Xenopus tropicalis: one gene and its partners. The protein of the gene in region 3 interacts with the protein of the main gene of each other region in a pairwise test. Links are inferred from orthologs where the notes say so. Each region holds a gene or a part of one and is shown on either strand. Other genes may lie near its edges. The genes, in order: ncoa5, hba4, khdrbs2, chtop, hnrnpr, cirbp and dock2.

Region 1 (3,412 bases), on a different chromosome or scaffold from region 3:
ATGTTAAGCCTTGTAAGAATAAGCTTAAGAACAAACCAGGTTCAGGTTCCCTTAACGGTCTATCCAATGTATCCCGGTAACGGTCCAAAAGGATGTCATCTTTCTTACGATAAAGATCATCAGGACGGTATCTATCAAAATGCTCATCACGTCTGAAAGATAAACAACCAGACTTTAATTTGTGCAACATTTGCGGATTCTAAACTAATGAAAAAACAGCCAATTAGGGCAAAATTCAAAAGCATTTGCTTTTTGAATTTTGCATAAATTGGCTGATTTAGGTCTACTAACTCTCTAACTACATTTACGTGGCCTGTATTCACTCGTCATTGAACAAGCTCTCTCACTAATACACAAGTCCAAAAGGCTGTCTGTGGGCCAAATACAATGCCCCAAATCATTATGGACCAAAGCCAGACCAAGGGTTCCACTGCTATATATTACAATACAGTAATTGTTTAAATGAGTTATATTCACTGCAGGAGGAACACCACACACACACACACACACACACATTTGACCGTTATTTTGTACAAACCCATGTAAGGCATTATCTTTCACATGCCTGTATTTATTATACAATTTATAGAAAATATATACATTTTTGTTTATTATATATTTATATAACTGAAGAGATTTTTAATGTTACATTTATGTTAGGTCCAGAGAAGCTGATTGAGAAATTCCTGAATTGAAGGGAAAACAGTGGGGATAACAAGACAATATTTTCTAAAAGGTGTAATGCAACAGACTCTATTTCAATAAACTAGACAATAGGTTAAAGTAAAGTCACCCAGGCTTGTGTAAATGAACATTTAACAAAAAAAAACAAAAAAACTGAGAAATATATAATGTAGTTAATGATGTCATGTTTGTACCTTATTCAGTTAATACATTTGAAGCTCCGAGAGGTATCAGAGCCTTACCTTCTGAACTTTAAAAATTACACAAATTTGTGTTTGCTTAAAAGCACTGGCATAACAAGAAAAAGCATTTGGCATTTGTGCAACCATAATACATACTTTAAAACAATGGTTCCAAAACTCAAACTCCTGGAAGCCCAAACTGGAGGAATATCAGGGTGAATAAATGTCACAGCAATAAAATAAAGTCACTTATCCTTTGCAGTCATGCAAAAGTATACTTCATCCATCTCCATCCATTTACTTTGCAGCAGAGGGGGAAAAAAATTCTTCTCGATCGGACCAGTGCCTGTATCAACTTGTACTAAGAGCTGTCTCCCACAACACTATTTCCTCACTTGCTAAAAAGCTGTCCCTTCTTAAATCCATCTAATGCAGTGCTGTCCAACTTCTACGGTGCCGAGGGCCAGAATTTCTCTAGCATACATGGTGGAGGGCCGCTAATGGAAGCCAGTTTTGACCACTCCCCTTTTTGAAACCACACCCACTTCAAACCACAAATATTTTATCACAATGGTGGTAGCACAGCAAAATCCCAAATGCTTGGTCCTTACTGTGGGGATATCGACCATCATTCATATGTGAAAGAATTATGTCATATTAAGATATACCCTTAAATTCCATATACCTCCTCCTCCCCAGTACATAATTACACACCTTAGGGACGATTTAATGGCTATTTCCAACTGCTAACAAACTCCCACAACAAACCCCTGCCAGGTTCACCTCCCACAAGCAGCATAGGGCAAGCAGAGTATGGCACACACAGGCAGGACTCCGCCTGTCCTATGCTGTCTGTGTGTGCCATACTCTGCCTTCCCTATGCTGCCTGTGTGTGCCATACTCTGCCTTCCCTATGCTGCCTGTGTGTGCCATACTCTGCCTTCCCTATGCTGCCTGTGTGTGCCATACTCTGCCTGCCCTACCCTGCCTGTGTGCCCTACCCTGCCTGTGTGTGCCATACTCTGCCTGCCCTACCCTGCCTGTGTGTGCCATACCCTCCCTGACCTATGCTGCCTGTGTGTGCCATACTCTACCTGCCCTATGCTGGCTGTATGTGCCATACTCTGCCTACAGTACCTATGTCTGAGGTGTGAAGAAGTGAACAATGGGAGTGATTACAGTCTGAGCCTGAGGTGTGAACACTGCAGGGGGTGAACAATGCAGGGATTAAAAGGTGTGAAAAACACAGGGGATTACATTTTTAAACAATACAGAGGGATTACAGCCTGAATCTGAGGTGAGAACCATGCAGGGGGCCAGTTAATCTCAGTACTGATACCATTTAATGCTTACTCAAAGGTAAGCCATCAAAGCAGCCAGACAGGTGGGGGGCCACACAGAGGGGGGTCGCGGGCCGCCAGTTGGACAGCACTGATCTAATGTATCAGCCAGTACAACTGATTCAGGGAGAGAATTCCACAACTTATTTAGGCGGAACCTCCTTTCTTCTAATTAGAATGGGTGCCCTTGTGTCAGTTGGACCTACTGGTAAATAAAGCATTAGAGAGATTATATGAGCTGCTTATATATTTATACATAGTTATCATATCCCCCCTTAAAGGAGAATGCAAGTCAAAATTTAAAAAGCATACTGCCCAATAGTCCTACTCCTGCAAATCTATGCCCTTTGTTTGCCCTTGTAGCTCCTGACTGGCATTGCTTGATGTATTATCCCACAGTAAGTCCACAGAAGGGGAAGGGAAATGGAAAAGTTTTGGAAATAACCTAAAGTTGCTAAGTTGGAAATGTACCTATGTGAAGTGGTTCCTAATACTGCCTGAAATTAAGAGGTGGGAATACAGAGTCGTGAGCTAAAAGCAAACCAATTGGATGCCATATAAACCCAAGGGGGTCTGTAAGTAGATTGGCAATCGGTTAGAGATATCACAACTGGGCACAAAAGGGTGATATAAGTAAAAGTTATCACTGGTGTTAAAAAGCACATGAGAGTGCACATTATGAAGTAATAACAGTATTGCATTATATATTTTTTTCTTTTTCTTTTCCTCAAAAGACCTCATTGCAAAGTCTAAAGCAGAAGAGGGCACTTTGGAGTATTTTATTGAACTGTATTTGACCTGGGACACAAGGTATCTGAAGTGAGGAGCATACACTGAATATTGCACTTATTTCTATTTGTAAAAATTGCTTGCTGTAGGCAAGTTTATTATCTACATGGACTTCAAGGTCCTTCTCCATTATGGATTTGCAGGTATAAGTGGCTTGCATATTTTTACATCCCAGGTGCATGACCTTACATTTATCCACATTACATCTCATCTGCCACTTAGCCGCCCAGATTGCTAGTTTGTCAAGATCCTGCTGCAAGGATGCCACATCCCGGATAGAATTAATTTGGCTGCAGAGTTTTGTGTCATGCAAATGGTCACACATTACTTACAACACCGCCCCCCCACCCCCACTTCATTATTGAACAAGTTAAAGAAAAGTGGACTCAGTACAGAACCCTGAGGGATACCACTAAA
Region 2 (3,831 bases), on a different chromosome or scaffold from region 3:
CTGTGTCACTGGGTGACTTCGACTCAAGGTTAGAAAAAGTGGGCACACTCACCAACCACCAATCACAATTTACCTATTGACTTTTATTGGTTTCAATTTAAACTGCTGCCATTTTTTAACTATTAATCCTTGGGTCCCTAAACTTTGCAGAGTTAGTCACTGGGTAACTGCAGTTCCAGGTTAGAAAAAAGAGGCAGAGCCGCCAACCGCCAATCAGATGTCACTCGTTGACTTTCAGTGGGGAAATTAAAATTGCTGCCATTCAGACACTATTAAAACCAGGGTCCCCAAACTTTTCACAGTGGTTTTTACTATATAACTGTGGTCCAAGGTTAGAAAAAGTGGGCAGAGCCAACAACAGATCAGATTTCATTCAGTGACTTCACATTTTTCAACCCAACATGAAGTTTGTTCTCAAACTTCCCTTTCTAGTTTATTCTGTTGTTTTAACCAATAACCCCATGAAGAAACTTTCCTTAAATAAGTGTAAAACAAAACAATTAAAAATAAGATTAAAACTTTATTGATGAATCAGTTGACACTGGTGAAAGGGTCATTGTTTTTTCATCGTTTGTCTTTGTTCGTTTATCTGTATTTGGAAACCAGAACAGAGGAGACAACAGAGAGGAACTTGTCCCAGGCAGCTTGTGCATCAGCGTTGAATTCAGCAGGGAAGTGGATAGCCAGAGTCACCTGGATGGAATGAGACAGCAGCTACAAGAGAGCAGATACAGATAGTTACATTAGAGATCAATTCTACAATGTTCCATGTCTCTAGTCAGGTAGCATAACTAACTTTAATAACACATTGTGTCTAAATATGTTATCTATTCCAGGGCATTTTGTAATCATAGGAAATAAACTGCAGGCGTTGGCCCTGTAGTTTCAACAAGATGACTCAGAATAATAAAATAAATGATAGTTTTCCCTCTAAGTTTATTAGAAGGTTAAAGCTGGCATTATAAAGAGAGTGGCAGTGGAGTGGAGAGAGTTGTACACTGATATACATTTTGCCAATTCTTTAAGAGAATTAGCCCAGTATTGCACAGAAAATGACAAGTGCTTACAACTAGCAGACACTAAATTTCTACTTTCCACTGAGCTAATACATTGGAAATTAGCTACCCAGCTACTTACTTTGAAGTTTCCAGGATCAACTCTCAGTTTGTAGGCATGCAGGTCACTGAGGGCAGACAGAGCGCCAGAAATGTCATCCAAGTGACTGGCAGCATTTCCAATGGCTCGCAGAACTTTTCCTCCATGAGCACTAAGATCCTTAGAGCCATGGCTCAGATCAAAATGGCTGAAGTAGGTTTTGGTCTGAGGGAAGCTCAAAAACAACCTGCAAGAAACAAACCATTTATAAACAGATATTTTAGAAGCATAAGGGATGAGCATATGTGCTGAACTACAACAAATGTCATACAAGTGTAGTAATGTGCCAATAGCAACTAATCAGCAATTAGATTTGAACAGTCTACTATAGTTTTTTGGTTGATTGGTTGCTATTGGCAACTGCAGTTGTGTGAGTCAGCACCTAAGTTCATAAGTTAGTCCTTAAATGTATAATGCACAGTGCTGCTGGATGGCTGGGTAAATAAAAAGTACAGTGTTTTGCAAAAAAAAAAAATTCTTACACAATTTTAGGCAGTCTTTACTGAAATGGCATTTACCATAGATGCACTGAACTAAAGTTAAGCAACTTTCCACAATACATAAATTAAACATTTTCAGTTGTTTTAAAGTTATTTGTAAATGCTATCATACTTACTGCTATGAAAGTCAGTGATTTCCAAATATTGTTTTTTTTTTGTTATATTACTTAAAGCTTTTATAAACAAAGTATCATAAATTAGCTATAGCAGGCAAAAATAGTGATTACTTTACCACTGTTAGTGGTAATGCTGACAGAGATAGGTGACAACAAAGATATTACTATTACAGATGAAACTATTTAATTATTATTTATACTATAATAATTACTATATTACAAATGTAACTAGTTATTAATATTTATATTATATTAAGAAATTGTGGTTTTAGAATGTTTACACACAGACACACACACACACACACATATATATATATATATATATATATATATATATATATATATATATATATATATATATATATATATATACACAATGTATTTTTAATATAAAATAAACATATTTTTCTAAACAGTCATAAAATAATACTAATCATGTAGTAAATTACCTTTCCAAAGCCTCTCCTCCAATCTCATCAGCATGGCCAGACACTTTACCCCAGAGGGAGGCAATAGCAGCCTTCTCAGCACTAGAGAAAGTCATTTTTGATGAATGGCTTAGGTATTCTGCAGCTGAACTAGACAGTACCTAAAATGGCTCACTTTTACCTTGCTTTTAAAGCCACAAATTCATTTTCTATTGGCTCTCATATTTGTTACACCCAAACTCTTATCTTTAAAACTAAGAAATGATGATCAGGAATCTATATTGTCTGATGTTATTTATCTCCACATACAGTAAGTCACGTATGTAGAGAGTGACGTGAATGATAATGGGGCTGAATAGTCTTATCATATACTGGTCCATGCAAGCAATGACTCATCATAGTGCCAAAGCTTTGTTTGTAATGTACATGTTCTGTTTCCAGAAGGTCTCTCTTATAGTTAGTATACATTATTGTCTTCAACATTTCCTACATTATAAACTTTGTGTCCAAACTAAACATATATAAAGGTCAGATTTATGGCTAATTCATTCTAAATTCATTGATAACTTGTAATGTAACATGCATATTAAATGTATCCACTTAATTTTACCCAATATTACTACTAAGTAGCAAGGTGAAATACAACAGTGCTGTGTGGTACCTGTTAGGCAAGGCGTACATACCTCTGCTTTCTTTAGGACAAGCCACAAAGCATGGTCACCCTGTTGATGGGCAGTGCTCTCAGAACTGCACTGCAGTTGACATTGTACAAGCAAATCTGACGTTGCAGTTACAGTAGAAGTAAATACATAATATATATATTTTTAACTAAAATTTAAGTAATTAATATAGCATATATTATCATTGAGAGTTATATAATTCCATTCTTTTAGTGTTAAACACATGAACTTATTTAGAATATCAGTTTGAAGAGAAATGGCACGCACTCTTTGGTCCACTAAAACTTGTCTTTATTGTAGAGATCTTAAAACAAAAAGGTCCTGACGCGTTTTGTATACAAAAGATACGTAGTCATAGGCACAAATTTCAAATGAACACAAACAGCTATTTAAAATAGAAAAGGGGAAATGACATCAAAATTCCAATTAATGCATATGCTAATTATTAACCCTTTATAGATGTTTTCATGATCTCCTAAAAACATTGGTTTTAGAAATATAAGTGAGATACAACAGTTTTATACTGGAATGCATCTATTGCTACTTTTTAGACAAAATGTATACAAATATAATAAATAAATACAATGTTGCAAAATTTATATAACTGACATTATCCATTAAAACTTGAACCCATTAAAACTTGAAAAAAGGGAATGTAGCCAAACTGAGCCTAACAGCACCACCTATTGGTCAGACACAGCACATTACATCAAATTTTAAATTCAAACCCTTTGGCTGCCGTGTACCTAAATTAAATATCCAATATGCTTCCCTATGAAGAAGTCTGGATGTTATGTCACCGCCCCTGTCAGAGGGAAATAATCTCTCAACGCCGTGTATTTTTAAAAATGCCATATCTCCACCACTGCATTCCTTAAAATGCCTTGATACCACTGTACTTGTACTCTCAGAGACAATCTGATTGATATGCTCTCGCAATTCTGCATTTTAA
Region 3 (3,500 bases):
AAATTTCAAAATTCGAGTTTGCTTTTTTTTTGTCAGTTCATGAAAAAATGCAACGAAAAAACGCAAATATACATGAGAATTTTCTTTAAAAACCTTGGATAGTCACTATTAAGTGAATGCAGGAGAATTGTCGCAAACAACTTTTTCATTTCATTTAAACCTTCCACATTTTCAGCCTCATCAAAAGCAATGGAACAATGTGACTCTCGCTTTTGTGCAACTTTTCTTAAAAAATACAAGACCCCAAATATTCTGTAGCATTTTTTTTCTAAAATAAGCTAGTGCTTGAGGAAAAAAACACCATCACAGAAGAAAAAGTCGATTTTGCGTTTTTCCTCAAACCTCAAAAATGGGTAAACTCTTTAGATGTATAAAAAATACTGATACATTTTTGACACTTACCGGAACAAGGAATTTTTTGATTTCTTCTAATGCATGGCTCATGCGAGAATAAGCTTCTCCTGGTGGAGCAAATACTTCAAGTAATACATGAAGCTCATCACTTAAGTGTGCATGTTTTGCTTCATCACTCTTTCTTAATTCTTCCTCCTAAAAGATATTATTTAAAGTTATAGAAATGTTTTTTTGCAATGATTTTAAACCAAGCTACATTTTTAGGCAATAAATGTCAAACTATATAAATAAAATACATTATAAAAAATAGAAAAATGTTTTTTCTTTTTTTGGAATTATTTTAAAATCTGACAGGGCTTTGGGGTAATTAAGTAATTTATGAAATATGTCTGTCAACCTGTCTAATAATCCCTTTGCAAAAATAATCCATATTTGAAATTCTATATTTTTGAAAACAAAAAGATAACCTTGTAATTTAAAGTTTGTTATTATTATATAAACCAACTGAAATTTCCTTGTGCAAATATTACATAAATCTAGAATATAATCAGTAAAAGCTGCTCTACATCATTTCATCACCATATTAGACCTTTTATACAGCCAAGAACCAGTTCATAAAAAAATACATCAATTTTGTGTAACTTTCAAGGGCAATTGCATATTGAGTAGCCCTTTATTGGCACTGGCACTGTGTGACCATATGCCTATGGTTTTTGGTTTTGCATATCTTTGGCTATTTGCATATTTTGTGTTTAAGTATATAAAAGTTGGCATGGTATTTGAAAAACACTCTTGCAGCTTACAGTTATTATTCAGGCAAACATTGAGGGACAGATTTACTAAAACTCTAACTTTTCTCAGTTTTTTCTTTTAAAAATTCAAAACTTATTTCCATAAATGTCTGACATTTACTAAAAAGTCTGAACTGAAAAAGTGTGTGTGGGAAAAAGTCACAGGAAAGTTGCAACATTTTTTGACTAGTTGCACCAAAATCTCTACTTTTTCAAACTGTTGCACAAAAAAAACAGCGTCAATAATCTAAAAACCTGTTAAATTTTGAAGCAAAAAATGGATCCTCCAGCGAAGAAAAGAGACATTTACCATTTACTTCTACATGAAGTGAGTAGTGTTGACTTTTTTCTGCAACTTTTAGTGCTAAAAAATCTGAACTAAAAAAAAGAAAATCCAACCAGTAGGCCCCGTAAAGGTCATAAGGCTAATTTAACTAATTTAACAAATTTTGTATTCTTTGTATTCCACTGGCCCACACAAGGTAAATTTACAAGCTTTTGTTATGTGTGTATTTATTCTTTAAATGGATGGTATGCACTAGGGTATTGCTATTTATTGTCTTAGGTAAGTAAACCCCTAAACACAAAGAAAATAACAGGACAAATATATATGTGCAATCTGTCTGCAATAGCTACATTAGAAACACATAATAGTTGTTACTATTGCCTATAAGCAATTGTGCTAGGGCAGTGATCCCCAACCAGCGGCTCGTGAGCAACATGTTGCTCCCCAACCCATTGGATGTTGCTCCCAGGGGCCCAAAAGCAGGTCCTTATTTTTGAATTCCTGGCACAAAGTCATGCTTTAGTTACATAAAAACGATGAGCACTGCCAAACAGATCCTCCTGTAGGCTGCCAGTCCATGTAGGGGCTACTAATAGCCAATCAATTGGTGCCACCAGGAAATTTTTGGATGTTTCTGTTGCTTTCCAAATTTTTTTAACATTTGAATGTGGCTCACAGGTTAAAAATGTTGGGGACCCCTGTGCTAGGGTGTAAATCATTCAATACACGTGAATGTATACCAAGAAAAATTACCTGAAAACTACCCCATAAAAATAATCAACATGGAGGTTTATTGATTACATAAATGTGTGCATACAATATCTGAAAATAATGAAGCAAAACTCATTTTCACAGTTTGCAAGATTCTGAAGTAAATGTCCAATTAGGGAATATACCAAATATACCATTAGGCATATGTCACAATTATCAAAAGCCTGTAATGCTATAAACTTGATTGCAATAATGTATTGATGCAATAATTCCTAAAGGATTAACTATAATTCAAAGCAAAATTTTCAGAAGCAAAAGAAAAAATTGTTTTGACAACCTCCTTATGATCTTTGCTATTTATTTTAAAATTGTGTGAACAAAGTTGCATTTATAACATATAGTTTTTGGCAATTAAATACACTATTAACATAAAAAGCCTGATGAATTAACCGTCATTAGTGATGAGCGAATTTTTTCGGCAGGCATGGATTTGCAGCGAATTTCCGCATTTCACCATTGGTGATTTGTTTCACAAAACTTCTGTGAAAATTCACCACGGAAAAATTCGTTGCACATCAAAAAAGGGCACAGTCGTGAAAAAAGGGCGTAGTTGTGTCAAATTGGGCATGATCACGTATAAAACAGGTGCGGTTGTGTCAATTTATGCGCTGTCACGTCAAAAAAGGGCGTGGTTGCGTCAAAAAGGGCGCGGGTGACAAAAAAAAAATTTGTGCGACAAATGTTTCGCAAATTTTTCGCTGTTTCGCAAATTTTATGACGAAGTGACATGGGACAGATTCGCTCATCACTAACCTTCATTTTTTTGTGATTCGTATTTTCGTATGCTAATTATCACATTTTTTAATTATAAAAAAATAATTCAATATTTATTATTTATTACATAATATTTATTATGTGTCAAAACCAAGTAAAATGTGAATGTAGAAATACACCATGTAAAAGTTTGTGGGGTCATGTAGAATAGTCACTTTTGTGGTTGTTTCACATTGAGTTATTCAATTTTTTTTTAATTCTTGGGGAGCTAATCGATCTATTAAAGTTATGTAAAGTTTACGAATTGAGGTATTTGCATTTTTTCATCATATTTTTTAATAAATCAGTTCAAAAACCTTTCAAATTAAACAAATGCAAATTTTGATCAATCTGCTTAAAAGAACTAAATTACATTTCTAAAAAAAATATATGCCCTCCCACATATTGTATATAGTTACTGCATGATCGCAAGAGAATCTTCACCCCAGTGACGAGGCAGATAAATTATTCTACCATATAAATAAGTGTAGAAATGTATTTTTAACCACAAATGTCCATTTTTTCTGTATATACAGAAACATGGC
Region 4 (4,242 bases), on a different chromosome or scaffold from region 3:
GGTTGCTAAGGTAATTTGAACCCTAGCAACCAGATAACTGCTGAAATTCCAAACTAGAGCATTGCTGAACAAAAAGTGAAAAAAAAAAAAAACGAAGACCAATTGCAATTTACTCTCTACATCATACTAAAAGTTAACTCAAAGGTGAACTTCCCCTTTAATACCAACTGCACCAGTTACGGGAAAGACCATGGCACGAGAGGGGTACAGATGGAACAGGAAGGCATGAATGGGATGGTTAAACCCCAGGGGGACCCCAAGAAATGAGGGGGTGCAAGAGCAGACACATGCAGGGAATGGACTGAGCAAAGCGGTTGCCTCTTACAAGACCCTAGAACGAGGTTAAAGGGCCTCTGGGCAGGGAGAGAGACCCCCGAATCATGCCTCTTACAGGAGCGACCACACGCGGGCATGTGTCGCCCCCCGGGCACGGCAGCGGGTGTAACGCAGCGCAGGTAACATGCTACCAGGCCGCAGCTGAGATTCTGACCCATGTACATACGTGTGGAAGAGAAGGGGGGGAGTGAGTGTATCACATTGCCTGATTATACTTTACCAACTGCTAGTGACAATCTCACACACAGGCCCGGCCCCCTGTGGTACAGCTGCCGCAGCAGCGGGCGCCCACTTTTGTGTTTAAGGGGGGGTGGGCACGGGGCGAGGCATGCCCATGTGAGGCAGTGTGAGACACGGGCTACATATGCTATAGCAGCTGCCCGGCCTGTGGGGCTTCCTCACCGCTCATTCAGCGACAGCTTTGTGGTACTCTTTAGCACAACTTTAGATGCAGACGGGGCGGCCATCTTGAAGTCTGGCAAACCTGCAAGGGACACAGCAAAGTTAGTCACGTGTTTGTAACACACAGTCCCCTTTACTCTAAACAGGGAGTGTAGGACATGAGCAGCACTGGTACCGACCCAACCCTGCCCCCCCCCGAACCACTGTCCCATAAACAGAACTATACCTCTCAGCCCCCCAAAGCCCTTTAGTACCCTGCCCCCCCCAGAACCACTGTCCCATAAACAGAACTATACCTCTCAGCCCCCCAAAGCCCTTTAGTACCCTGCCCCCCCCCCAGAACCACTGTCCCATAAACAGAACTATACCTCTCAGCCCCCCAAAGCCCTTTAGTACCCTGCCCCCCCCAGAATCACTGTCCCATAAACAGAACTATACCTCTCAGCCCCCCAAAGCCCTTTAGTACCCTGCCCCCCCCAGAATCACTGTCCCATAAACAGAACCTATACCTCTCAGCCCCCCAAAGCCCTTTAGTACCCTGCCCCCCCAGAATCACTGTCCCATAAACAGAACTATACCTCTCAGCCCCCAAAGCCCTTTAGTACCCTGCGCCCCCCCAGAATCACTGTCCCATAAACAGAACTATACCTCTCAGCCCCCCAAAGCCCTTAGTACCCTGCCCCCCCAGAATCACTGTCCCATAAACAGAACTATACCTGCTCAGCCCCCCAAAGCCCTTTAGTACCCTGCCCCCCCAATCCCCCCCAAAGACTAACCCTCTCCAACCAAGCCTTTAAAACCCTTGCCCCCCCCCCCAAAGCCCCTTAGTACCCTGCCCCCCCCCCCCCAGAAGCCCTTTAGTACCCTGCCCCCCCCCCAAAGCCCTTTAGTACCCTGCCCCCCCCCCAAAGCCCTTTAGTACCCTGCCCCCCAAAAGCGGCTAGGACCCTCCCCCCCCCCAAAGCCCTTTAGTACCCTGCCCACCCCCCCAAAGCCCTTTAGTACCCTGCCCCCCCCACAAAGCCCTTTAGTACCCTGCCCCCCCCCCAAAGCCCTTTAGTACCCTGCCCCCCCCCAAGCCCTTTAGTACCCTGCCCCCCCCCCAAAGCCCTTTAGTACCCTGCCCCCCCCCAAAGCCCTTAGTACCCTGGCCCCCCCCCAAGCCCTTTAGTACCCTGCCCCCCCCCCAAAGCCCTTTAGTACCCTGGCCCCCCCAAGCCCTTTTAGTACCCTGCCCCCCCCCAAAGCCCTTTAGTACCCTGCCCCCCCCCCAAAGCCCTTTAGTACCCTGCCCCCCCCCAAAAGCCCTTTAGTACCCTGCCCCCCCCAAAGCCCTTTAGTACCCTGCCCCCCCCCAAAGCCCTTTAGTACCCTGCCCCCCCCCCAAAGCCCTTTAGTACCCCTGCCCCCCCCCCAAAGCCCTTTAGTACCCTGCCCCCCCCAAAGCCCTTTAGTACCCTGCCCCCCCCAAAGCCCTTTAGTACCCTGCCCCCCCCCCAAAGCCCTTAGTACCCTGCCCCCCCAAAGCTTAGACCTGCCCCCAAAGCCCTTTAGTACCCTGCCCCCCCCCAAAGCCCTTTAGTACCCTGCCCCCCAAGCCCTTTAGTACCCTGCCCCCCCAAAGCCCTTTATACCCTGCCCCCCCCCAAAGCCCTTTAGTACCCCTGCCCCCAAAGCCCTTTAGTACCCTGCCCCCCCCAAAGCCCTTTAGTACCCTGCCCCCCCCCAAAGCCCTTTAGTACCCTGCCCCCCAAAGCCCTTTAGTACCCTGGCCCCCCCTCCCAGCCCCCCAAAGCCCTTTAGTACCCTGCCCCCCCAGAATCAGTCCCATAAACAGAACTATACCTCTCAGCCCCCCAGGCCTCTATGCCCAGGGGCGTGGGAAGCAGTTACCCCCGGCCCCCCATTCATACCCCAGCACCGAGCCCGGTACCCCCTCCCCTCACACTCACCGAGCGGCTCTGGAGTCCGGGGTGCGCTTGGCTAACGGACGGGATCCCCCCAAATAAAAGCAAGAGGGCTACGGTAGCACTGACTCTCCCTGCCTATCGCTCTACTCCCGACACACAGCACAAAATGGCGCCTAACACTGACCCTACGCCGGCAAAATGGAGGCGGCTTTAATGCGTCGAGCCACGTATCTCCATTCCCCGCCCCTTCCGAGCCTCTTAGTGGATGGTTACTATGGATACCTGCCCGGGATGGGTGTCCATCTTGGGAAGGGAAATGCGCTACAAATCAACGAGAGGTCGCCGCCATCTTGGGATGGGCACGCAAAACACTCACCTACATAACTGACTAGTTTCATTTTCAGCAATTGCGCTCTTTACATTGCAGAATCTCAGAATGTAGGGGTTGCTAAACTATATCTGACGTTATTATTAGCTAAAAAACAAAACTTTGTTGTTTCTGAGGTACAGGTCCTGAACTGAACTGTGTTACATGTGCTGCTTAATGGCAGCATTAATGTGTCTATGAACATTCCCATTCATCCAGGCCATGATATACAGTATCTAGCAGAATTAAGTCTAAAGCAACTGGACTTTTCTGAGTTTTTTTCTTGAAAACATTTCACCACTCATCCCAGTGGCTTCTTCAGTTCTGAAGAAGCCACTCAGATGAGTGGTGAAATGTAAACTCAGAAAAGTCCAGTTGTTTTTAGACTTAATTCTATAATGTCTTATTTTCACAGCCGCTGGTCTTACATATCAACTGGACAGGCCTAGCAGAACCCACTGATGGTACTGGACTGAACTCCCATGTTCCACACTAATATAATGGACCATTTCTCATGAATGTCTCCGTTAGGCAGCACACACTAATGTCTTTGTTAGAAGCCGGTCTCATTCCCAAGAATGTAATAAAGTCACTTATGTTGTCTTGAAGCAGAGAGCAGACAGCAAAAACCAATAGGAATGTGTATCCAAGCTGGGACCCGGTATTAAGCGGATATTTCCAGATGGTACCTGGCCGTCCATAAACAACACCCTGTCCTTAATTCTTCATGTCAATGTGGAACTCTGGGTAATCAGTTGTGGGGGGGGGGGGCAGGTAACCGAGCACTATGGCATTGTCCCATTTACAAGTGGGGAATCCCCTTACCGGGAATGGATTTGCCCTTCTATCCCTCACTAATACCAGCGCCCTCCCCTGTGGAACCTGTGTGTTGGGGCAAAATCGTCCCACTGGTAAAGGAGCAAGAAGCCCCCAGGTACCCGTGGGCCAGCAACTCACAGTGGCCAGAGAAATTATGTTTACAGACGTGTTCTCGGAACTCCCTGGTAAGACATATAAAGTAGGAAGAGACCCAGGGGTGAAAGTCAGATCTCACCCCTCAAAAGTCTAATAGTGACTGGCATAGCTCCATAGTCCTGGTCCCTAAGCCATATGGGCCAATAAGGTTTTGTATAGACCTGTGCAAGTTCAATGCCCTGAGTGGATAAGCGAATGGACTCCTTGGGGGAGGCAGTGTATATATATCTACCTTAGACTATTGGCAGATTC
Region 5 (4,102 bases), on a different chromosome or scaffold from region 3:
CGGCAAATATGCACTACTGCAGTAAACCACAGCAACCATGACTGATTCAGGTAAAGAGTTACTTTTATTACTTTACTTGTAGAAGACTAATGGAAATCCTGTACAAATTAGTTGCAGTGGGGTATGGAATGTGGAGTGGGGTATGAAAACTTAACTCAACCTGCAGATTTAAGGTTGTCATACACGCACAGATATTATCATATGAAACAAAGTTTTGTACGATAATCGGTGTGCGCACAGTGGGAGACAAGGCGACCGCTACTGGTAAAAGCCTTGGATATCAGTTGTCTCACCAAGGACTGAAAATTTTGAAGGGGCCTGAACATTGTAAAGTTAATGCTAAATTGTCAGATGGGGTAAATAATTTCTCTGTTTTTACCTGCATACCTGACGATTCAGCTCTTAACGTTACTAGAGAGGATGAAAAATCTTTCATATGCCCAATGGTTGTGGGAAAAATCGTAATTACCGCGTGTATGCTGCCAATGTATGAGGATGGTCAGGCCATTCCTAAACACCTCTCATAACCTCCCTACTCTTCAAAAGCCCCTTTCAAGAAACCAAATCTGATATTACTCGGAACAGCTACTAAAAAAAAAATTTTGATTGAGAAGAGATGTCCTCATCCATATGCAAAGCAGAAGGAATTTTTTGTAAAGGAAACTCCATTTCACACCCTATAGACAGAAACTCACCACTGGGTTTTAAAGCACAGCCAGGGTAGAAATCCAGTCAGCCTACTGTCTTGGCAGTGCTTTATAAACCCAGTGGGTAAGGATAGGGTATAGAAATTAAGAGCAATCCTGGGCTTCCTTCCCAGAATTCCTTCTGCTAGGGATAACTACACAACAGCATTTTAATTTGGTAGGTAAAATACCAAGCATTTCTTACAGGTACTATATTAGCTAAGTTGACAGCACTTTAGATGAAGCAATATGGAGCTACTAGTAGCAGCTACTTGTCACTGCTACAAAAACAGACATTTACTGATAATCCTCTCTACGAGTGTTTAGCAGATGCAATTCTCAGTATTGTCTATGGTAGGGTATTTTCTGGCATTTAGTAGCGGTGACAAGTAGCTGCTACTAAGTAGTTCTGTGTGTCTTTGCCCTTATCCCATTTGAATAAAGTATAGGCATCATTTTTCTTATCTCCCCAGCCTGTAAAAATGTATATAGTAATAAAGAAAAGGGCTACTAATCCTGCCTCTACAATCTTCAATCCATTGACTAAAGGCAGCCATACATGGGCAGATTTTGGCTTCTGATTCAGCTCCTATAGTCCAAGTTGGTAGCTTATCTGCCCATGGGGCACTCCAATGGGCCTACCTGACCAGAGACCCAGGCAGGTGAACAATTACAATCACTGGGTTTTTAATAAGATAATTGCTTAAACCCCAATCACTTAAACACTAGATACAGTTTCCATGTGTTAAATTTTTTTTAGGGTTGATGGTGTGCTTTTAAAGGACTGTGATCTTAGCATCAAATAGTTCAAAATGAGCACCAGAACTGGGGAAAAAATAAGATAAGAAATGAGGATCAACATCAAGTTATCTTAGAATGCAACTCGGCTTTTTGTTATGTTGACAAAATTGCAGGGGAAGCAACATATAAGAACCATTTAAGATCTGTATGTATTTACATTTAACCAACGGAGTCCAACTTGTGCGCCTGTTATCCACTATAGTACATTTTCAGCGAGCATATTAAATTAAACAATGTCAGGCAGTTGTGTCATGCGCCCATAGGCAGTCAGGGTCTCTCAACTGACAACTAATTTACTTTGTTTAGAAAACAACCACCATAAACAATCAAAAGTTATGGCAAAATTCCTTGCCACATTACCGATAGGTAAATCACAACACAAAACGGTTACTGGAGCTTAGCTCCCTTTATAGTGAGAACAAAAAACACTTTCATTTTAACGCATCATTTTAATTGCTACTAATTAATTAACTGTACAATTAGAAACTGACACCGATTCCAAGTGCCAAGCCAGAAGAGACTAAACTGTGTCTCTACAGCTGCTGCAAAACCTCACATATCAAAGCCCTGTCCAACAAAGCTGGAAACTACATTTTCAATAGCTATGAGTTACATAACATTGCACACTATGCAATATAAATAAGAGTATAAAGGGCACATATATTAACAAATGCAATAAATGACAGCCCATAAAAACTAGCCCGTTTACTATGTTAGTGCCCTAACGCAATTCAGCACCCAAGTCATGGACCTCTACATACACTGAACACAATAGATGCTGCCCATTTAAAATGAATGGCATACACCTTCAAACAAGCTACAATGAACATTTAACCATTCCATATTTTTTCCGGAATTCCATTAGCATTATACATTGTTTTGCAGTGATTTTTTTTATTGAGGTCTGAAGGATAGTATTCATTACTGCGGAATACACACCTAACTGTTCATACAGTTTTACATCTACTCCAATTTAAAACGCAAAAAGGACAAGTACAATGGCGGCGAAGGTTGTCATACTTGGCTGCTATTCAGGTTCAAACATTACAGCTTTGCGGAAACCGTGGCCGGACGCTCAGAAGCGTACGCAACGAGAACAGAGGAAGCCTACTCACCTGCAGAGCTATGGCCCTCTTGCCTCACGCCCGCTGTTACAGTGAGCTAGTAAAATGGCGCGCCTCACGGACTGCGAACCACCGCCTTCTCTATCCCTACTAAGCCAATCAACAATACTGGCCGCGGGGTCCACACCACCAGCTGCCAAGGACTAGCCTATTGCGGGTAGGAGGAGACGAATAAGCGGGAGGGAAGGCGTTACACCTCAGCCAATTGGGAAGCGGAGTACATAATAGGCAATGGCAGACTTATGAAAGAAGTGGTTCGGATTGGTGATTGCGAGAGAGTTTGTAGCTAATGAAATAGCTGCCTCTGGGATGGCTAAGGATGGAAAGGAATGGGATGTGAAGCTTTTCGGGGTGGAAGACAATGCTGCTGGCTTTCAATGAGCTATTGTTTGGACCGATTAATATATATCGCATGTACCAATATAATGTCTGTGCTGCATGTTTAAGTCCAGTTTCGTTTACACACACATATGCATACATATATATGTACGTACAAATATGCGCACTTGCAGTACATTCGGGTACAGCTTAGATGAAAAGATGAAAGGCACGGTTATATGTATGGGTGTAAAACACCAAAGCTGCCAAGGAGAGTCAGTGTTCGCAGCGTTGACATTTCTACTCTGCATATACCACAACTTTCACAAGCAGTGATGCAGTGTAATTGCATTTTTGTTGTTCATATATCATAAATACCAGTATGGGCTCTATTACCCGGAAAGCTTGGGACCTGGGTTTAAAGTAATGTAATGAAAATCAAGATGGCCTCATAATGTGGAGCTTTTCTGGGCATTGGGTTTTCAAATAAGAGACCCCAAATGCTGTTGCTAAAAGCAGTACATTTACAACAGAGGGAACAGTGCTTGTTATACACAAGTTTCACAGAGGAACGTGACACAGGTTATCACATTACATTAGTAAGCGCTGTTTATAGATATAGCTATTAATATCACTCACAATGATCTCTGTGCAGTGTCTGCAGTCATATTAGTCAGTTCCAGTAATTCCAGGGCTGGTGATCAAAATCCAGGCCTAGCCCATAATAACAATAATACAAAATTTGCTAATTGTGACACAAAAGGGGTGGAATTTGAAAACTACATTCTGTGCATTCATGAGTAATATTTACAATTTATATGGATGTATATTTATATGAATATGTTTAGTTATATAGGGTTACTTGTGCCCTGCATCACTATACCTAATATTAGGAGAAAAGACAGATGTCAATATAATAATAAAATATAAATACAAAACATAGGGGCACATTTACTAATCCACGAATCCGAATGGGAAAAATTCGGATTGGAAACGAACACTTTGCGACTTTTTCGTATTTTTTGCGATTTTTTCGTCGCCGTTACGACTTTTTCGTAGCCGTTACGACTTGTGCGAATTGTAGTGACTTTTTCGTAGCCGTTATGATTTGCTCGTATATTGTCACGACTTTTTTGTATTGAGCGCTCGTAAACGGCGGGCAAATCTTTCAGA
Region 6 (4,188 bases), on a different chromosome or scaffold from region 3:
TTAGAGAAGCTGTCAGGCTAACTAGGTCTATTAAAAAAAAAAGTGAACACAAGTAGATATACTACACAAACGATTCGGCGAAGCTCCAAAAATCTTTATAAATACAGCCATTGGAAGGACGATCTTGAGTCAGGAATGGATTTTACTCTTGTGTAGCTGAGGACAAGAAGCAGGCACAGTTGTAAAGGCACAGATTCCAGCATCACCTCCCCTAAACTGGTACTACATACCCTTCCCAGCTATGTCTACCCAACACTTATTGCCTGTAGCCAGGACAGAACCAACACATGCATTAGAGGCAAATTGAGAAATTGAGAAGTTAAGAGCCATCACTGGATGGAACACGAAGATCACAACTGACGTACCACCCTTTCCACCCTCCTCTCTAGTAACTTCCCCACATACTTACTATAGCTGTCATAACTATCCCTGTAGGATCCTCCGGAACGATCACCATAGCTTCCATGACTCCTGCCACAAGAGAGACACAGGCCATTGTCAGGAGAACAAATATCAAAATAGAATGAAGTCTTACAGAGCATTCACAAAACTTACCTGCCATAGTAATCCCTGGATCCACTGCTTTGGTAACCTCCACTTCTGTTTTCAAAGCGGCTGCTTCCACCATATCCTCTGTCTCCACCACCACCTGCACAAAAAAAGTTCTTGTGTTTTATAAAACTACACGAATGTTAACCTGTCCCAACTCTAGTGCAGGAAAGAGATAAAAGCCCAGGTTATAGGGCATGTTAACCTAACCAAAAATAACAAATTATGGTTCTCTATCAGGCAATAATGCCTTTTATGAGGGTTGACATACCCTTTAAAAGCCGCTACAAAAAGTATCCTTATAGTTAATTCAAATGGGTAGGGACGGGAATGTCCGTCTGCAATTTGTCTACCGGGAAAGGTTAACCAATATAGTCATGATTCTTATGGTATACCTTATTTCTAAATTACTGTCTACATAGCAAATGAACCACCATCTAAAATTCACTCAAGGAAAAATAAAAGTTGTACTATTAGTGTGTAGGCAGCCATCTCTGTGCATTGTGCCCGATTCTGAGCTTTCAGGAGCCAGCACTACACTAGAGCTGCTTTCAAGTAACCTGTTTCCCCTACTCCCATGTAACTAGTGCAAAGCTAGACTTTCTTCTTATTAATTGTTATTCTGAGATCTACTGGGAGCTAACTCTTCCCTTTGTATTATGGAAAAGTTTACCAGAACATTTATATTCCAAGTCTATATTGCAATGTCACTAAAGTATGTATACCAACCTCGGCCTCTGCCTCCACGGAAGAACCCTCTGCCTCCAGAAGAGCCACCTCTGTAACCACCTCTCCTATCATTGGAGGACTTGCCAGCCTGATCAACACGGATTTGACGGCCATCTACAGACTATATATAAAAAAAAAGAATTTAAAAAAGTTATAAAGAAGCCATATTGTCAGATTTAATGTTTAATGGACATTTTTAGCCATTTAAGTCAGTGTACTGTTCACTGAATTACACTTGTCTTTGTGCTTTGTTTAGTCATGATTTATAACTATACACCTTTTTAGAACATGTTATTCTAAGCCAAAACAGTAATTGAAATTAATAAGTAAATTAAAGGGCCTTCACAGTTCAAGAAAGGCAGTTTACCTAGAGGTTGCAAAATGCAAGGCGGTTACCTAGTGCCTTCATAGCATTATTAATTAATACAGTGAGCATCTAGTGGTAGAATGCAAATACCAAGGACAATATGCCACTACAAAGTGTGTTACATATCCCAGCAATAAACACCAACCACCTGGCAGTTATAAACTAAAGACAGTGAATCAGATTTGCTCTTTACACCTAAAAGGATTTGTTACTATGTGTGCATTTACCTTCCCATTCATTGCCATCATAGCATCCTTGGCATCTTCAGGATTCTCAAATGTGACAAAGCCAAAGCCTCTGGATCTCTTGCTTTCCCGATCCTTCACCACAACCACTGAAAATACACATTGCTTTAGAAGGAGGAAGAAAAAAAAAAAAAAGAAAAAAAAACTGCTTAAGAACTAATTTTAAAAAATAAAAAAAGGCCCACACATACCTTCAGCAACCTGTCCATATTTGCTAAACACTTGCTCCAAGCTTTCCTCTGTGGTTTCAAAATTCAGACCACCGACAAAGAGTTTTCCTTCATCACAAGACATGGTGAGACCTAATAAAGAAAGACGACAAAGCCACATGAAGCGCTTTCCAATATGGCCGCCACCACGTGGTAGAGATCCGAGCCTTGCCGCAGTAGCACAATAGAAGGCGGGAATTCAGCCCATGGATGACGTCACTTACGGTAACGTGTGAGGGATTTATTTCGCCATCTACACGCACAATCGCTAGGATTTTTACATCGACTCTTCAGTCGACAGTTTCATTGTTTTATTAAACAAAAAAAAAAACTACGCGCCAAATAATGAATTGTGCTCATATACAGCTCTTCGACTAGCACTACGAAGAAAGTAAGAGCCTTCCAATAAATTAAATAAGAACCTTCCAATAAATTAATTTAAGCCACATGTAGATTCGTGCCAGTTTTGCCGCGAAGGCGCGAGTATGACACGGTATTTGAGGCGTTGTAGAACGAGGAGTTTTAAACTACTAAATGTGACCACGTATACAGAATACCTACAATGTATTGGGCAACAATTGACACATGAGCTAACCTCCACAATTCACACGCTGAAACCAGAAGAAAAAGGAAAAACCCCACTTACGTTCTATGATCTTCGGACGATACAACACAAGTTGGAAGCCGAATGCGAAGTGCGCAATTCACGCCGGAACTTGGTCATTTATACCAGGAATAACCCCGCCCACATCATGAATAATTTATTTAGTTCCAGTTCGGGCGACACCATTTGGTTGATAGCGCGATATTGAAAAAAGATCATTCAGAGCAATGCGGATGAATAAAGAGTTCACTATTTGTATTGCAGTGGTTAGTTAAAAACTATTACCACATGATGTGTTTATTTTTGTTCATTTTCTTAAACTATAACCATAGTGTACAATAATTTCATACCAATGGACGCTTCTCAGAGGAGGAGTCATATTAGAATTGACGATCCAGTCGCCTGACCGCTTCTTGGGATTTATTTGCTGGTATTGGCTGAATATTGTCGCTGGGAGGATCTCTTTGTTACTGCGTTGCGCGTTTGAACAAAGAACAAGGAGAGAGCTTAGGCGCCATTTTAGGGCTGGGTGGCACATGTTAAAACTCGGCTATGAATCGTGGGTTTTTTTTGTTTAAAATGGTGTTCGGATATCCTAATTAATGATATTATTTTAACGCTATACCGGGTAACATTAATGTTTAGTTATTATTCGAAACCAATCTTGACATTTTCTTAAAGCGTTTAGGAGTGGCGTTTGGCAATTCCAATGCCGAGCTAATGGCGCCGGAATCAAAGGCGCCGGAGGTTCAGAAAAGGGTTGCTGGAAAGTTGATTGTTACTGTATGCATTACCCTGTTGCAAACGGTGCTCCGTTCTTTATACCTATAACAGAACGAATGGCGTCTTTACGAATAGTTTTTATGTTTAATTGCAAGAACATAAGTTAAAGGTGTTTATAAAGGAAAAAAAATAGCAATCCCGGTGCTCGACTTTCATCAAAATGCCTGTTAGATTTCGTTTTGCAAATCTCCCTTCCACCCCTGCTTTCCTACAGTACATTCTGATAAAAAAAGAGGTGATAATTATCGTTATTGAACGTATTATGGTTATGCTTAAAATACTTATATTTAACATCGTTTTAATAGGTGAGGATATATCTAATCCCAAACTTGGGGTATGCAGCCTTTTAAAGTTATTGTGCATGTAAACTTTTATAAACCCTATGTATATACTACTATCATTGATTATTACGCACTATATTTTTCAAGTATTGCACTACTACTGTTTTATAATCTTGTACACAAAGTTTTCAGTCACAGAGCCACCCTGCCCCCAAACGTGGTAATAAAAAGATTAAACCCAGTTTTCACTGGTTTAAATATATTCCTTCCTCATATGCCCCTGTCACTATTGTGGTCTTTGTTGCTTCCAGGTCAGGGACAGAAGAAACATTTTTACACACACACACACACATACAATTATAAAGTGCAGCTACACTTTCATGACATTAAACTGGCAACATATAAAATATTTTCTGTGTAG
Region 7 (3,500 bases), on a different chromosome or scaffold from region 3:
ATGTTTCCAGCAACATGTTCTTATGTAACATACTTTCACAACTTCTTCCCCATCCACAATCTTCAGCTTTTCTAAATTTTCCTGCAAATGTTCTGGCTTTGTGCGCCATTTCAGGAGTCCAAGCAAGCCAACTTAGAAAGAAAAAATAAGCAATGGTTTGTAAAAGATAATAATAAGATAATAACAATGCCCAACACAAACATAATCACACAAAATGAAAGACAAGCGGGTACAGTAGTAAACTGTAATTGGGTGGTATTAGGCAGTTATGGGGTTCTGTCTATGATCTAGCACAACTAATCACGTTTTATTCCCAAAATTGTAGCCCTACATAAGTTCACCCCATATTTTTTATTTTAGATATGTTAACATTTTTACTTAATAGAATAGGGGGCTGATTTATTAACAATTGAATTTGAGATTTAGGGGCCGATTTATTAAAACACGAGTTCGAATCCCGAATTGGAAAAATTCGGATTGGATACGATAATTTCTGAAAATCGTAAATATAAAAAAAAATGCTTACGAAAAAATCGTATTAGTCTAAAAGCTGGCGAGTTCATGTAGAAGTTAATGAGAGTTGCCCGGGCTCTAAATGAGTTTAGCCTATAATACAACAAAAATTTTAATTTATGATTACAAGTGGCACAATCCAATACTAAGTAGCAGATTTATCAAAATGTGAGTTTAGATCCTAATACATAAATCTCACCCACGTTCTATTCATTCCTATGGGATTTTCAGAAGTGTATTTATCAAATGGTGAGTTCTAATTTTCAACCATTGATAAATACACTTCAAAAAATCTCATAGGAATGAATAGAACATTGGTGAGTTGTACATATGTATGGGATTTTAAGAAGTGTATTTATTAATGGGTGAAAGTTAGAACTCACTTTTTGATGAATACACTTCTAAAAACCCCATAGGAATGAATAGAACGTGGGTGAGTTTTTATGTATTAAGCGCTAAACTGACATCTTGATAAATCTGCCCCTAAGCTTTATTTATTTAAGACTCTTCTCGATTTTTCTAAAATAGTCTACAAAAGGCAAATAAGTTTCATAAATCAATAATAGTCTTTAGGAACCATTAGTTCAGCTGGGCCTTTTTCTGGCAGGATTAAATAAAAACAACAGTTTTTAATTCTATTGTGATGCAAGTGCAAAAAATATCATGAATAAAGTTGTGTTAACAGGAAAAATAATGTATACCATCCTCTGAGAAAGCGTCCAATGACAAAAATCAATTTGTAGGGCGGAGCTCAGGGTCATTGACATACATATGTCCCTTTAGTACGGTAGATTTATTTGAATTTTGGATAAATTTATGATTGTTTTGTGTACCAAACAAATATTTTATGTGTGATACTGCCTATTATTAGTATTACTATAATATTATTTATTCAGGGTCTAGGGCAGTATTCCCCAGTGCATCAGGTGACTTACTAACTATGACTAACTACTTATAAAAGATATAAAGGGGTTGTAGGCGCCCAATTAAAGACAATTCTAAGAAACTTTCTATAACATTCATTAAACATGTATTACACACTGGACATTATGTTGCCCTGTTAAAATACAGACAAAAACCACCCAAAGATATCATGCCATTGACAAGCACTGAATTCACTGTAGGTATATCATTCACATTCAGTAGTCACCGGAAAATACATAGGCAATTCTTTTCACGCAGTTACAAGATTTGACTGACGTACCCATATTGATTTCAGTGTTCAGCAATGGTAGGGTATTTTCAGCCATTTCATCTTCATTTTAACTTAAGTGACAAAACTTCTCATGTGTCACTGCCCTAAAAGTCATCTAAATGAAACTAAAAACAGTATTGTTCCTTGCTGTTCCTTGCTCTGCTCGTTCTGACTGACAGACCTGTGAATAGCATGCAAGGAATTGTGGAAAATGGAGTCTTGGCAGGAGACAAGCTGATTTTTGGGATATGTAGATAAAGACAGTTAGGCCCTGGTTTAAATTGCAATTAAATTTACAAGTAACATTAAAAAACAAAAATACTTTCCAAAAATATTGGAAAGTTGCTTAAAATTTTATTTTATTAAGTACATTTTTACAAGGAGTTGTATGTTCTCCACATGTCTGTGTGGGTTTACTCCAAAACCATACAGGCAGTTTAATTGGCTTCTGACCATAGTGAATGTGATTGGGACCCAGCTCCTCTGGCGCAAGGACTGCAGTATAAGCTCTGTGTATATGCGTTGGTGCTATATAAATAATACATAGCTTTTAGCCGTTTTACAAACAATTTTTAAAATGACATTTAGGACAATGACAAACAGGGAGATATGGTACCTGCGGTAGTGCATCTTTTTCTCCCAAAAATGCCATCCCCTTCGCTAACATTGGAATCACCGCAAGTAAAATAAATTACTCAGGGATATTCGGCTTAATTGTGGGAACATGCAAAAGAAGGCAATTTCCCATGATAAAGCCTAAGTAATGTAATTTACTTGCTTCAATGTAAGTGTTAGCAAAAGGGCTGGATTTCTCAGGAGGTCTGTCACCAACGCGGTAGCGCATTTTTACTGTCTAACAAATCTCCCCGTGTGCCATTGTCCTTATATAGGGAGTTGTGTTGGCAATTCCATTATGTTGAGTGCACCTGGGTAGTGGATTATGTATAAAATAAACAGGCAGTGGTTCATAATATGAAGATACCCAGCGCAATTGACCTACCATTCTGAGTTAATTTAGTTGAACAAACAAGGGTGGAAATGGAGAAGGCATCTCGTGAGCTCACAGACAGGCCTCCCGAACTACTGCTGTTCCTGCTGAATGTGGATCCTTTATTATCCATTTGTTGACGGGTGAAAGGAAAATGCAAATAGGTACTGCCGTCTTCCATTTTTTTACTATCACCCTGAAAGCAACATAACACCACTTCAATAAAAAAATATGTAGTGGAGTAGAATATTATTCTTCAAAATATACTTTTTTTTTTTTAATATAAATGTCCTATACAAAATGCACCAGTCTTTCAAACACACCATTCAAGAGGAATGAAACTGGTTTTCTTGCTTCTCTTATAAACCACTACTCCAAATCTGAAGGAGAAGAAAATGTAAAACCTAAGTAAGCTTTATCACAAAGGTCTATGTAAATACAACCATAAGCACTCACAGAAACGCTGCACTGAGTCCTCTATCAAAGGAAACACATGATTTCTTCTCTTTTTTTGTAAACATGATGTTCCAGTGTCTGACTTCCTCTCTTAGAAACATCCTTAATACCAGTGGCCAGAGTATGCGCGGTTCTCTTCTCTCTCCCCTCTCCTGCTCCTCCCTTCCACGAGAATGCTAAGAACTCCCTCCCCCTCCCTTAGGAATGTGTGATCTCAGCTATAACGGCTGAACTGCAGGCAGGAAGCTACTTAAAACGGCAGCTGCTATCTTAAGCAAATGGAGAAAGCTTCTAAAGCTGTTTTCTCAGGTATGGTAATGGTTTCTGCAGAATAAATATATTGTTCTA

Evidence for each region.
Region 1: the proteins of khdrbs2 (region 3) and ncoa5 interact in a two-hybrid assay, tested with the Homo sapiens proteins (2 studies listed by BioGRID). The two-hybrid records come from large-scale screens. The link is inferred for Xenopus tropicalis from reciprocal best matches to the Homo sapiens genes KHDRBS2 and NCOA5.
Region 2: the proteins of khdrbs2 (region 3) and hba4 interact in binary tests that used the Homo sapiens proteins (3 or more experiments, as listed by UniProt). The two-hybrid records come from large-scale screens. The link is inferred for Xenopus tropicalis from reciprocal best matches to the Homo sapiens genes KHDRBS2 and HBZ.
Region 4: the proteins of khdrbs2 (region 3) and chtop interact in binary tests that used the Homo sapiens proteins (3 or more experiments, as listed by UniProt). The two-hybrid records come from large-scale screens. The link is inferred for Xenopus tropicalis from reciprocal best matches to the Homo sapiens genes KHDRBS2 and CHTOP.
Region 5: the proteins of khdrbs2 (region 3) and hnrnpr interact in binary tests that used the Homo sapiens proteins (3 or more experiments, as listed by UniProt). The link is inferred for Xenopus tropicalis from reciprocal best matches to the Homo sapiens genes KHDRBS2 and HNRNPR.
Region 6: the proteins of khdrbs2 (region 3) and cirbp interact in binary tests that used the Homo sapiens proteins (3 or more experiments, as listed by UniProt). The two-hybrid records come from large-scale screens. The link is inferred for Xenopus tropicalis from reciprocal best matches to the Homo sapiens genes KHDRBS2 and CIRBP.
Region 7: the proteins of khdrbs2 (region 3) and dock2 interact in binary tests that used the Homo sapiens proteins (3 or more experiments, as listed by UniProt). The two-hybrid records come from large-scale screens. The link is inferred for Xenopus tropicalis from reciprocal best matches to the Homo sapiens genes KHDRBS2 and DOCK2.

What each region holds. Positions count from the first base shown.
Region 1 is NC_030686.2:20,087,902-20,091,313, forward strand, and holds part of ncoa5 (nuclear receptor coactivator 5), read right to left. Parts: intron 153-3,412; coding exon 37-152; intron 1-36. UniProt on the Homo sapiens protein: Nuclear receptor coregulator that can have both coactivator and corepressor functions.
Region 2 is NC_030685.2:40,402,025-40,405,855, forward strand, and holds hba4 (uncharacterized protein LOC100216102), read right to left. Parts: upstream 2,402-3,831; 5' UTR 2,316-2,401; coding exon 2,221-2,315; intron 1,343-2,220; coding exon 1,138-1,342; intron 715-1,137; coding exon 586-714; 3' UTR 501-585; downstream 1-500. UniProt on the Homo sapiens protein: The zeta chain is an alpha-type chain of mammalian embryonic hemoglobin.
Region 3 is NC_030681.2:95,041,043-95,044,542, reverse strand, and holds part of khdrbs2 (KH domain-containing, RNA-binding, signal transduction-associated protein 2), read right to left. Parts: intron 550-3,500; coding exon 403-549; intron 1-402. UniProt on the Homo sapiens protein: RNA-binding protein that plays a role in the regulation of alternative splicing and influences mRNA splice site selection and exon inclusion. Binds both poly(A) and poly(U) homopolymers. Phosphorylation by PTK6 inhibits its RNA-binding ability.
Region 4 is NC_030684.2:144,107,987-144,112,228, reverse strand, and holds the start of chtop (chromatin target of PRMT1 protein), read right to left. Parts: upstream 2,801-4,242; 5' UTR 2,691-2,800; intron 821-2,690; 5' UTR 804-820; coding exon 739-803; intron 1-738. UniProt on the Homo sapiens protein: Plays an important role in the ligand-dependent activation of estrogen receptor target genes. May play a role in the silencing of fetal globin genes.
Region 5 is NC_030678.2:82,773,225-82,777,326, forward strand, and holds the start of hnrnpr (heterogeneous nuclear ribonucleoprotein R), read right to left. Parts: upstream 2,801-4,102; 5' UTR 2,603-2,800; intron 1-2,602. UniProt on the Homo sapiens protein: Component of ribonucleosomes, which are complexes of at least 20 other different heterogeneous nuclear ribonucleoproteins (hnRNP). hnRNP play an important role in processing of precursor mRNA in the nucleus.
Region 6 is NC_030677.2:99,957,614-99,961,801, forward strand, and holds the start of cirbp (cold-inducible RNA-binding protein), read right to left. Parts: upstream 2,801-4,188; 5' UTR 2,746-2,800; intron 2,193-2,745; 5' UTR 2,185-2,192; coding exon 2,082-2,184; intron 1,980-2,081; coding exon 1,873-1,979; intron 1,400-1,872; coding exon 1,279-1,399; intron 650-1,278; coding exon 556-649; intron 472-555; coding exon 410-471; intron 157-409; coding exon 143-156; 3' UTR 1-142. UniProt on the Homo sapiens protein: Cold-inducible mRNA binding protein that plays a protective role in the genotoxic stress response by stabilizing transcripts of genes involved in cell survival. Acts as a translational activator.
Region 7 is NC_030679.2:32,747,079-32,750,578, forward strand, and holds part of dock2 (dedicator of cytokinesis protein 2), read right to left. Parts: intron 2,893-3,500; coding exon 2,709-2,892; intron 132-2,708; coding exon 34-131; intron 1-33. UniProt on the Homo sapiens protein: Involved in cytoskeletal rearrangements required for lymphocyte migration in response of chemokines. Activates RAC1 and RAC2, but not CDC42, by functioning as a guanine nucleotide exchange factor (GEF), which exchanges bound GDP for free GTP.